Linked DNA regions of Coturnix japonica. The protein of the gene in region 2 purifies or fractionates together with the protein of the main gene of each other region. This does not show direct contact. Links are inferred from orthologs where the notes say so. Each region holds a gene or a part of one and is shown on either strand. Other genes may lie near its edges. The genes, in order: PAXIP1, KMT2C and NCOA6.

Region 1 (3,652 bases), about 1.0 Mb from region 2:
AGTGCAGCTTCTCTATGAGAGAGAACACCAGCACTATAATGCCTGATTACGCAATCTTTAAAGTAAAACTAATTCCAACTTATTTCATACTTTCTTTCTTCCAGCCAGCCCTACATATTACATTGGTGTGACATAAACTCCCTTCCTGATAACAATAGGCTGAAAAACAAAATATTTCTGGTACAAAAATAACAAAACAAAACCCAACATATCAGCCTAGATCACATAACAGCAAGTGATTTATAGTTTGAATATAAAAGTATTTGGGGTTTTGCCATGTCATGTTTGGTGCATCGTTTACCTTTCGAAATGAAGTCATTAAAGGAAAACTCTCCCTAGGTCAGAAGATAGTCCAGGACTACAGCATATGTTTAATGATAACTCACGAATTCTATTTGACATGTTCATTATGATGATCAAAGCAGCATTAAGTACCTCAATATATCATTTCTTTAATTCTCTTTTCTTTCTACAGCTCACTCCCTGAGTTGAATTCTCCTGATTGAGAATACGCAAACATCTCAGACACACAGATAGATGCAAGGGCATCTGTTTTGAAATACGAGATATAACATTTGAATTCTGTATCACTGAATTCTGTATCACATTAAGACCTGAAATTCCTAATATGAACACCTGGACTCCGGCTTCTACCACCTCTTGTTTTCCATTATCAACACTACCACCTGCTATCCTTCCAAAATGAGATCTCATGCCTGACAGCCTTCCTCCCTAGTCCTGCTGTTCACCGCAATCATCTGCTGGTATCTGCACTGAAATGCGCTGCCCTGCTTCAGCTTTTGCATAAATATAATGCCTGTTATGAATGGGCTGTGAAAAAAAACATATTACAGGATGATATTCATGCATAAGCAGCCATTGCCGTCATTCCTAGGATCCAAAGAAAAACTGAGGGAAACAAATAATGAAACAGTAATAAATAATAAAACAGAATACACCATCCACGTGCAAGAATACGTGCTCCAAATGAGTTGAGAAAAATAAATCCAGCCCACATAAACCACAGCAGTCTGCAAATGACACAGTCAAGCTACACAATAACAGCAGTGTTACCATTATGAGTTAACAAAGCACTATTTCTAAGAGTATGGATGTACTGCATGTTTATTTCTTACTTAACTTTGGCTCTTGAAAAGGCCATAAAAATAGGCCATTCCACAGACCCAACAACTGGCCCCTTACGGCATTCCAGCATCTCTCCCAGATCCTCAGTTAATGACCAACATCAAGCTAAAACGTTTGAGCTATTTGATAACAAACTTCCTACAATTGATTATTAAGTGCTTATCCAAAATAGCCAAAGGGAGAGGGAAAGTAAAGCAAGACAAAGAAGCTCTAAACACACTACGATCTTAACAAGCAAAATATATCCTATTATTACAAAAATGTAAGACATACATACATGTAACAATCTTCATTCATGCAGTGCAATCTATTTTAAGATGTTTCCTATAATATTCCATCCAATTTTAACTTAAAGGATACGGAAGGAGAGCTCCACAGCGAACAGACAGGATCACCCAGGAAGGCTGAAAGACAAAAACCATGAGATAAAAAAACCAAACTCATACTGTGTGAGTAAAATGCAAGTTAGTGACCAACTTCACAGCGTATCTGGTTTCAATATCCATCTCTCAGCTTTAAAGTCTGAGTGTTTCACAGATCCTTACACAGAAAGGGGTTTATATACACATAGTAATACAGGCTGCTAAGCACACAGGTGACAGACCCTAACCATTGGTATGCAGCAACAGAATGGCTCAAAGAGAGAGAAGGAAATAGAGAATAGAGGCTGTGTAGGACAGTGGTCCTGATACAATCTATAGGGGAGAAGAAGGAAGGAGTACCATCCTATTTAACATGACTTTTTTACCTCCCCACACTTTCCTCTGCCCCAGTATACACACACACACACACACACAGTAACTTTTTATGCCTTATTCATGCTATTATCTCTCATTTAGCAAAAGGCAGAAGTTTTGTACTTTTTTAATTCCACTGTTTGCAAAAAAATAAATAAAAATTGGGAGTTTTCTCTTAATTTTTTTCCCTTCCTCATTCTCCATCCCTTTTCTACCTTTGCCTCCAAGCCTCATTCCCTTAACACTAAGTCTAATCTTCTCAACTACAGAACATGTTGCTTAGTTGGACCTAGAAGCATCGCAACATCACTGAAAGGCCTGCTGCAAACGGCAGAAAGTTTAGTCAGTAGTGCTTAAAAAGAACACTGAATTATTTAAGTGAAAGGCAGCCAATAGCAAGAAGCACTGCTAGGACAATGATCACAGAATGACTCGGGTTGGAAGGGACCTCAAGGATCATGTAGTTCCAACACCCCTGCCTGGCAGGGCCACCAAACATACACCTTTACTAGATCAGGTTGCCCAGGGCCCCGTCCAACCTGGTCTTGAACACCTCCAAGGACGGGGCATCCACAACCTCCCTGGGCAGCCTGTTCCAGGGCCTAACCACTCTCCTAGTGAAGAAAATGCCATTCCATCCCATAAGAATGGTTGCAGCCTTCTTGTATCTCAAGACTGAAATGATGTCACAAAACACTTCATGAATGAGATAAATTAAAAACAAGAACTAAGCTCCCATCTAGAACCATAAGGCCTCATGCTAAGCACCCTCAATTTTTTGAGTCTGTGAATTCATACTTCTCCACTGCCAGGTGAACTCTCATGCTTTAAGTCATCAAAACTAAGTACTGTTGCCTGCAGCCACATAGAAAGAATAAACCAAACTTATGCACCTGAAAGTACTGGCAGAGAAATAATAATGGGTTTTCTTTCCTCATTGCTCATGAATTGCAGAACAACAGACTCATATTTTTAAACATGAAGCCTGGAAGCTTTAGCAGGAAAAATGAACCCAAACTGCAAGAGAGTAACAAAGTTACTTAAAGAACGCAGCATCCCACAGATGAATGAGGAATTTCAGAAAGGGACACACACACACACAAAAGAAAACTCATTAACAGATCACCAGATACAGAATAACAGTAGGAAAGGAGAAAACAGAACTGTAAAAGTCTACAGTTCAGGGGGGAAACAAAGATCATGAAATGAGAATAAAAGAAATGCAAAGGTGTGTTTCATTCAGACACCATCTAAACACTGGTATTTTCTGTCACCATAACCCAGTAACTGTGTCAAACAATATAGTGGAGGAGTCACCCACCTTTACCACAGGGAGATCAAAAACTTCACGAGATTCTCCAACCTCTGGATGGTCTCCGTCTTCTGAAATAATATGTGAGGCCAGGGCATTGTAAGAGACTTCCTTTGCTTTCCCAGCTTTCAGAAGTTGAATAACCTAAACCCAAAAGAGAAGGGGGAAGAAGTGAAAAATTATTATTACCTTTCAATGGAAAAGAACAGTAAGAAAAGAACTGCAGCACATCAAGGGAATGAGTTCAACCTTCTCTCTTGGTTGCCCTGTATAAATGGATAGTACTCTGGTGTTGTTTTTTTGGCAAGCACAACCCATTTAAATCCTGATTTCCCAAGGTTTGCAACTCTGCTGCATTTTGATGATTCAAGTTGAAGTTTTACTTCCAGAATATTTCAGGCTGGGGCAAAAATTCTGAATGTTTCAATGTTTTTCCAAGACGTACAGTCCTCAATAA
Region 2 (3,652 bases):
AGGACACGAAAAAAGAAAAAGGATGATGATGCTGAGTCAATAAAAGCCCCATCGACTCCCCATTCGGATATAACTGCACCGTCAACTCCAACCATTTCTGATTCTACCTCTACCCCCACCGTTAACACCCCTAGTGAACTGCCTCGTCATCAAGATGAGCAAGAGTCAGTGGAGGTAACAGGTCCATCAACATCTAATGCAGCAGAGAGCCAGGCTTCTCCAGAGCTGGAGTGTCAGCTCCCCAGCAGCAGCTTGCCACCAAAACAGCCAAATGTGAGCACAGAGACTGACAAGGCCAAACCAGACACACCTGCTGGCATTCAAGAAGTTAAACTAGAAAAGGCAGAATCCGATCAGTGCTCAGATCAGACTGAGCCGAAAACAGAAAATCAAAGCACTGTTAAGGTGGAAGAAGATAAAGTCTCATCTCAGCCTCCCTCTTCAGCTCAGAGTCCAGCACAGCCAGCCAGCGTTCCAGCAGCCAAAGGGGAGTCAGGGAACGAGTTGCTCAAGCACCTGCTTAAAAACAAAAAGTCCTCATCTCTTCTGAACCAGAAATCAGAGAGTGGCTGTCGAACAGAAGAAGAGGCTGCTGGAGAGAAGAAGCTAACGGACAAGCAGAGTCAGGCTGAAGGAATGGTGAGCCTCTCCCTGCTTTCGTTCTGCAGTGGTTACCAGCTCTCAAAGGCTGGTTTTTGTCTCTGCTTATTTTTAATTGAAGGAGGCATGAATTCTTCGTGTTAATGGCATTATATGGGTTAATAATTTATAAGACTTTTTAAAACAACTTGAAAAATTGCTTTCTATGGAGGTAGTATACACTTGAGACTTAGTATACTTCAATTATTTTATTATAGTCTCTAGTGTCTACACTGTTGTCCTATTAGTCTCCCAACTCTAAACACATCCTTGAAATCAGGTGTAAATACATTCAAAATAAATGAAAACTGATAAACGTAACTGTGAGCAGCAGGTAACTTAGGTAAATGTATGACAGGAGTAGCTGTGAGCATCCTTGTGTCAGGGCTTGTGCAGAATGGACTGTCTATTATAATATAGTCAAAAAATCTGCTTCATTTCCTTTTTTACGGCCAGCAAACTGCAGGAAACCAGCTGCAAGGTGCATTCAGGTGTAGTAACAGCCAACTTCAGAGAGCAGATGTGGGACACGAAACCAAGAAACAGAGAAATAAACGAACTCAGAGGACAGGAGAAAAGGCAGCTCCTCGGTCCAAGAAAAGGAAAAAAGAGGAGGAAGAAAAACAGGCCATATACCCCAATGCTGATACGTTCATCCATCTCAAACAAGTACGTACACAACACGACACTGGGTAGCTCATCAAGGGGATGCTTTAAAAGAATGGGTTTCTTATTGTGAAAACCAAATGGATAATGGTGTTGAATTCTGAGTACAGGGTGTAGCTGTAACTTCTATAGAAGCAGAAAGTGTAAAGGCTTGGATTTATTTCAGTTTGGAAGATCTACTGACGTGGCATGCGTTCAGCAGGCTCAAAACCATGGAATTCCTGCCTGCTTTGGTTGCTGCTGTTGCTGAGCTGCCACAGAGCTGGGAGCAGTGGCTCCCCTGGGCTGAGGACCGTCTGACCGGGGGGTTAGAACTAGATGGTCCTTAAAGTCATTTCCAACCTAAAGTGATCTATGAATCTTTGATGCCTGAAAAAGGAGAGGGGCCTGAGTTTGTGATGGTTGTCTGATAGTGGGTAAACTCCCTTTAAAAACAGCAGTAGAAACTACTAACAGCTGAGTGTCTGTGATTATTCAATTTTATAGTTAGACTAATTTCTACCTTTTTTCTTTACTTTCAATGTAGCAGCTTTCTCTCCTACCTTTGATGGAACCAATAATTGGAGTGAGCTTTGCACACTTTCTTCCCTATGGCAGTGGCCAGCTAAATGCTGGAAATCGACTTGTAGGAAGTTTTGGTAGCGCTACCCTTGATGGGGCTTCAGATTACTACTCCCAGCTCATATACAAGGTACAGCTTCAATCTGGATTTCCTCTGTGGGCTCCTTGAGAGAAAAGTTCATTACATCATTGCTGCGAGTTGGTTTAGATTTGTGCCCTTTGCAAGCAGAAGAGAACCATCTTCTGTTGTTAGATTAGATAGGCCGATCAGTGTTAAAGCAGACATTGTTTCACTGTTGTGAAAGTTGAAATCAGTTCTAGAAACTGTTGTAAATGGGTTAAAATGTGCAAGTGTTCCACTTACGAGTGGATGCTAAAGAATGAAAATTGTAATTACACTTTTATGGAGCAGAAAAGGCTGAATTCCCAGTACTTTGCAAAGTCATTGAAAACACTTAAGTATTTCTTAATGTGAATCAAATGGGAAATAGACTTTTCTCATTTGTCTGCTAAGCTTGAACTAAAAGCTCTGAGGAAAAAAAAAAGATGTTTGTTGATGAGCAAATAATCCACAGAATTTAAGACTCAGCCTCTGAGATCAGGATGGCAATGGTGGGACAGCAGCAAGAGAGCAGACAGGGAATCAAGTCTGGTACTTGGTGTTTATTCCAGCCTGAGAATGGATACTCTAGGCTGAGAATGGGACCTGGCAGATATTACCATAGCTGTGGATAATGCTTTCTAGCTTTGTATGCATGACTGCAATGAGAGAAGATACTGAAATTTATACTTAATTTTGGTTTAAAGTATGGTCAATTAAGTAAACTAATGAGAAACAGCGACGAGTGTGAACTTGCAGAGTGAGGTTCTCCATGGTAACTACTTCAGCAAAAGCTTGTCCTGTGCTAATGTGAGGCAGCTTCCCTTTTAGTGGAAAATGGGTAACTCCTTTATTGTGATGGAGAGCCCCTTTAGAACTGCTCTCTGTCTTTAGATCAGATCTTTGCTTAAACTGTAGGAACTTATTGAGGCTCCCAAAAAGTCCATAAAAATGTTCTTCGTGCCTTTATGTAAATAATTCAGCTTTACCTTCTCTATCAGGAAAATTTACTTCTCGCGTAAACTTTATTTCTCCTGTAGTATCTTTGATAGTAAGAAAATGTTGTGTCTCTTCTAGCAGGAAGTTATTCCACATATTTAGTTGCGTATTTGAGAACTGACTGTCACTGTTTATCAGTGGTACCTCTGGATGTTAAAATAAGGGAGTGGGTTACAATATCTACTAGTAGAACATGGCAAGTTTTCACACTGTGCTTCATAGCTAACTTGCTGTTCTTCTCTCTCCTGCAGCAGAACAATCTGAGCAATCCTCCAACACCACCGGCCTCTCTTCCACCCACACCACCTCCTGTGGCCTGCCAGAAGTTGGTAAATGGCTTTGCAACCACTGAAGAGCTTGCTGGCAAGGCTGGTATGTTGGGAGGCCACGATGGTAAGGCTAATGCATATTGTTTGCCTTATAGCTGGGTCAACTTTGTAGCAAACTACATAATGGATAACTGTGATGTTTCTTGGATCCTATAGTTCACTGTTATACAGGCATTATGTCCAGGCTCTTTTTAAGCTTGTAATCACTATCACCCAGTTTTGTTTTATACCAGCGTAATGTCAAGTGATAAGCTTATTCTTTCCCTTTTGAAAAGACGTTGGGATCTAGAAGCACTCCTAAGAAATGAATAAGTTCAGAATCCACTTTGTGATGTCCACTACAAATTTGTTGTCTTTT
Region 3 (3,652 bases), on a different chromosome or scaffold from region 2:
CATTACTGGAGTAACACTCTGCGTAACATTTGAGTTTATTTCTCCCGGTTCCTGAAGTCCTGGATTTGAACAGGGTTCATTACTTTGAGGCAAACTAAGTGAATTAGATGGCTCTTTGCTAGAGGATGCATCTTGCAGTGGAGGAATGACAGCTACCTTTTTTATCTCTTCCACAGTGGTGACTACTGGTGCCATTTCAAGACCAGTCAGTCCTGGGGGCTTAATGGTTACATTAGGAGCTCCAGAATTATCAAGAAGTTGACTTAAAGAAGTTGGTGCTTCCCTCATAGCCGGAGATACCATGGTTTTACTTTCCTCCAAAGCTGGAAGCTTACCCGTGTCTAAGGCCTGCCCATCCTTTTTTGACTGCTCCCCTGGAACCAGCATTTTTATTTCTGGAGTTGGGACACCTTTCAGTTCAATGCTGGGCTGGTCTTTGTTACCCTGGACAGTTTGTGCACTTTGACATTCATTATCTTGAGGAACACTGAGGCTCTCCTTATTGTCTTCAGGAAGGCCAGTCATAGCAGGTGCAGAAACTGCTGGACTCTGATTACTTAGCATGTTATTATTCTGAAAACTTGTAGTAACAGGTGTTGGCAAGGAAGCAGGACCAACCATTATATTCCTCTGCATATCTACATTCTGCAAGAGAGATGGATTCTGTGGAGTAGTCAACGATAATTTTGCTGCTTTTGAATTCTGTCTACCAGGACTTGGTGTTGTTTTCCTGCTGGATCCAGGACTGGACCTTCGACTATTGCTTGGACTTGCTCTCTTTGTTCCTCCAGCATTGGTTTGCTTTCCTGAATTAACAACAACACTTTCCAATTTGTGTGACTGTGGAGAAGCAAAACTGGACTGATTGTTAATTGTGAGATTTGATGGGGCTTGTCCAATAGCCTTCAAAGTAGTAGGATTAAGACCCTGCTGATCAAATCCTCTACTGAGATTAGGTCTGGGAGGTAAAGGAATATTAATTTGGGGAGGGAAAAGACCAGCTATAGAAGCATTGAGTCTCTCTGGAGACAGGCTTATTTCTGAGGGTTCTGTGCTAGGTGGGCGGTTATTAGGAGTCTGAGGATAGTATGGCCTTGGGCTTGCTCTGTTTGGGGTTTTAGGCCTTGATGTTTGTGATGGGGTAGCAACGTTAGGAAAATGGTGTGCAAGAGATCCAGGCAGAGAATTAGATTGCTGCTGAGGACTTGCGCCTGGGGTGGTTGAAAGCGGGGATGGTCCAGGTTTAGCTCCCGTCATCATTAATTGGTTCTGTGAAACTACTAAATGAGATGTCAAATTATTCTGAGCTCCTGATGCTGTGGGGCCTTCCGTTCCACCTCCTTCTGGAAGGGAAGATACGGATGAAACCTCTCCCAGAGGTGAGCTGGAAGGATTCTGTACATTATCTTGATAAACCATTTTTCTTGCATTACCTCCCAGAGAAGGATTGCCTGGCAAGGAAATCCTCTGTTTATCAGGAGACAGAGGCACAGATCCAGGGCCTTGTAGATTGACCATTACTGGCATGTTACCGCTCTGCTGCATGGGCATTCGTTGTGCATCTGGATTCAGAGGCCCTCGAGGTGGATGAACTCCTTGTGGTACAGGAAGCCTGACTGATTTGGAATCCTGCTGCATCATAAGCATCATCATCATCTGCTGCTGTTGCTGCGGTGTTTGTGGTGGTGCCTGAGCTTGCTGTGATGGCAGCTGTGGCTGCTGTTGCAGCTGCTGTGGCTGCTGTGTGTGTGGCATGAGTTGAGGTGGCATCTGCTGAAGTGGTCTTTGTTCCACCGGCTGAGAAGGATAACCTAAGAGGACACAGTGACATTCTGATCAAGAACAAAAATCAGAGAAAGCAGAATTTATGTAATGAATGGCATCAGATAGAAGCGGTAGGTAGGATAGCCAGTTTATCCTCTGTAACAGCCACATTAACTGAACAGGCTTTATAAACAAGGGTTTTTATATATTACATATATCATATATATTATAAAAAAAGGATTTCACTTAAAGTATTGTTAAGAATTATAAATGACCTGTGTGACACTGAATGGAAGGCCATACCAGCAACCAGCTACTACCCTGGCTTCACAACACCTCAAAAAGTCTCTACACCATTCCACAGGCTTGCTGCCACTTTCAAATTCAGAGTTAAACTTTCACAGATTAATCACCCTCAAAACAAACCTAAAAGACTGATAGACAAAAACTGGAAGGGTTCTGAAAAACCTGAGAACTACTGACTACTGGTCAGTTTTCAAGACACCAGACTGTGCTACTGCTAGAAGTGCAGACATCTATAAAATGTAACATTGCTAAGTAATTCTACAGTATTCAACATGATACCTGCAGTTGGGTGATACATGAGGATGCAACTGTCTATTCATTTAGAGCTAATTCAAAGAGCACAAATAGAGGAATCAATTATTCACAAGGAGAAAAAAAACCAAAAAACTTGGTCATAAACGTGCAAAAAAGTACTGCCACAAAGATCAGTAAAAGCTTTACTGTAGTGACAACATTTAACACTCACCTGGCGGCCTGCTTCCAAAGTCTGAAAGTTTAGGGCCTGAATTGTCTAAGTTGATTCCTTGATCTCCAGATGCTGATGACTGATCGCTCTCCTCCAGGCTGCCTGAACGCGGTTCTGAAGAGCTGAAAGAAAAATAATTGCTGTTTACATACAGCCGCAACATCAGTGTATGGATTCCACTTCCACAACCATTGTAGCACTTCTGGCTGACCCGCAAGTAACTCATGGAAACAGATCGCTGCCTCATGTACAGCAGATGCAAACACAGCCCAGGACTACCGATAGTCACTTCTGGGCCTTAAATACTACTCCTGAAAAGACAAGTTGCCTGGTGCTTTACTCACCTGAAGCGTTTGTTTCCTTCCTTTGTTTCTTCTTGAATCTGAGTTTTATAAGAGAATGCCAACAGATATTTCAAATTTATATACAAATAGCTCTCCTGGTGGATCTAAATAGGCTTTTCTCAAATACTGCTGTGCTGTCTGTACACATAAGTATCGTGTGTATATCCAGCGAACTTCAGAGACAGCACCATGCTCCCAGGGGAGCCCAGCTTAGGGTATCAGATCTCTATCCCTGTCACAGCACCAACGTATTGGCACATCAGGCGTTCAAAGCCATCCACCAGAGCACACAGCTCTGTGGGATGCAGACCTTGCTCCAGGAGACCCTGGGGGACATGTTAAAATTTCCAAAATTCAACAGCTAATGCTTCCACTGCATCACAACAGTAAGCTTTTTACAAGCATGCTTTCACAGCTAACCTGTGGTCAGAGGATGTTAAGATGAAGAAGAATGAAGAGCAAAAGACCTTAACGGCTTAATGGTTTCATGAATATACTGAGGCTGTATGGAGATATATGTAATAACAGCTCTCCATTTAAACTAAAGACATGAAAACAAGTCCACTGCCTGCAAGGAGAGGCAGAGTTCTATAGAAATGACGAGGAAAAAGAAATTCTCAACAAAACAAGAATCTGAATTATATAAAGGTTTACTTGACAGTAACAGCCAGCTTCTGGTATATGGACAGCTGGCAGCAAGAAACCCAGGCCTGTCCCAGCGTCCTATTAACCATTCAGTGCTCAGAAAGCAGGGAGTGGCTTAAAAGCCTCT

The links.
Region 1: the proteins of KMT2C (region 2) and PAXIP1 purify together in Homo sapiens (affinity purification with mass spectrometry; 4 studies listed by BioGRID and IntAct, with this or other methods). This does not show direct contact. The link is inferred for Coturnix japonica from reciprocal best matches to the Homo sapiens genes KMT2C and PAXIP1.
Region 3: the proteins of KMT2C (region 2) and NCOA6 purify together in Homo sapiens (co-immunoprecipitation; 7 studies listed by BioGRID and IntAct, with this or other methods). This does not show direct contact. The link is inferred for Coturnix japonica from reciprocal best matches to the Homo sapiens genes KMT2C and NCOA6.

What each region holds. Positions count from the first base shown.
Region 1 is NC_029517.1:6,828,408-6,832,059, forward strand, and holds part of PAXIP1 (PAX-interacting protein 1), read right to left. Parts: intron 3,340-3,652; coding exon 3,205-3,339; intron 1,551-3,204; coding exon 1,507-1,550; intron 1-1,506.
Region 2 is NC_029517.1:5,829,276-5,832,927, reverse strand, and holds part of KMT2C (histone-lysine N-methyltransferase 2C), read left to right. Parts: coding exon 1-639; intron 640-1,095; coding exon 1,096-1,308; intron 1,309-1,831; coding exon 1,832-1,996; intron 1,997-3,216; coding exon 3,217-3,358; intron 3,359-3,652. UniProt on the Homo sapiens protein: Histone methyltransferase that catalyzes methyl group transfer from S-adenosyl-L-methionine to the epsilon-amino group of 'Lys-4' of histone H3 (H3K4).
Region 3 is NC_029535.1:442,348-445,999, reverse strand, and holds part of NCOA6 (nuclear receptor coactivator 6), read right to left. Parts: intron 2,659-3,652; coding exon 2,537-2,658; intron 1,812-2,536; coding exon 1-1,811. UniProt on the Homo sapiens protein: Nuclear receptor coactivator that directly binds nuclear receptors and stimulates the transcriptional activities in a hormone-dependent fashion. Coactivates expression in an agonist- and AF2-dependent manner.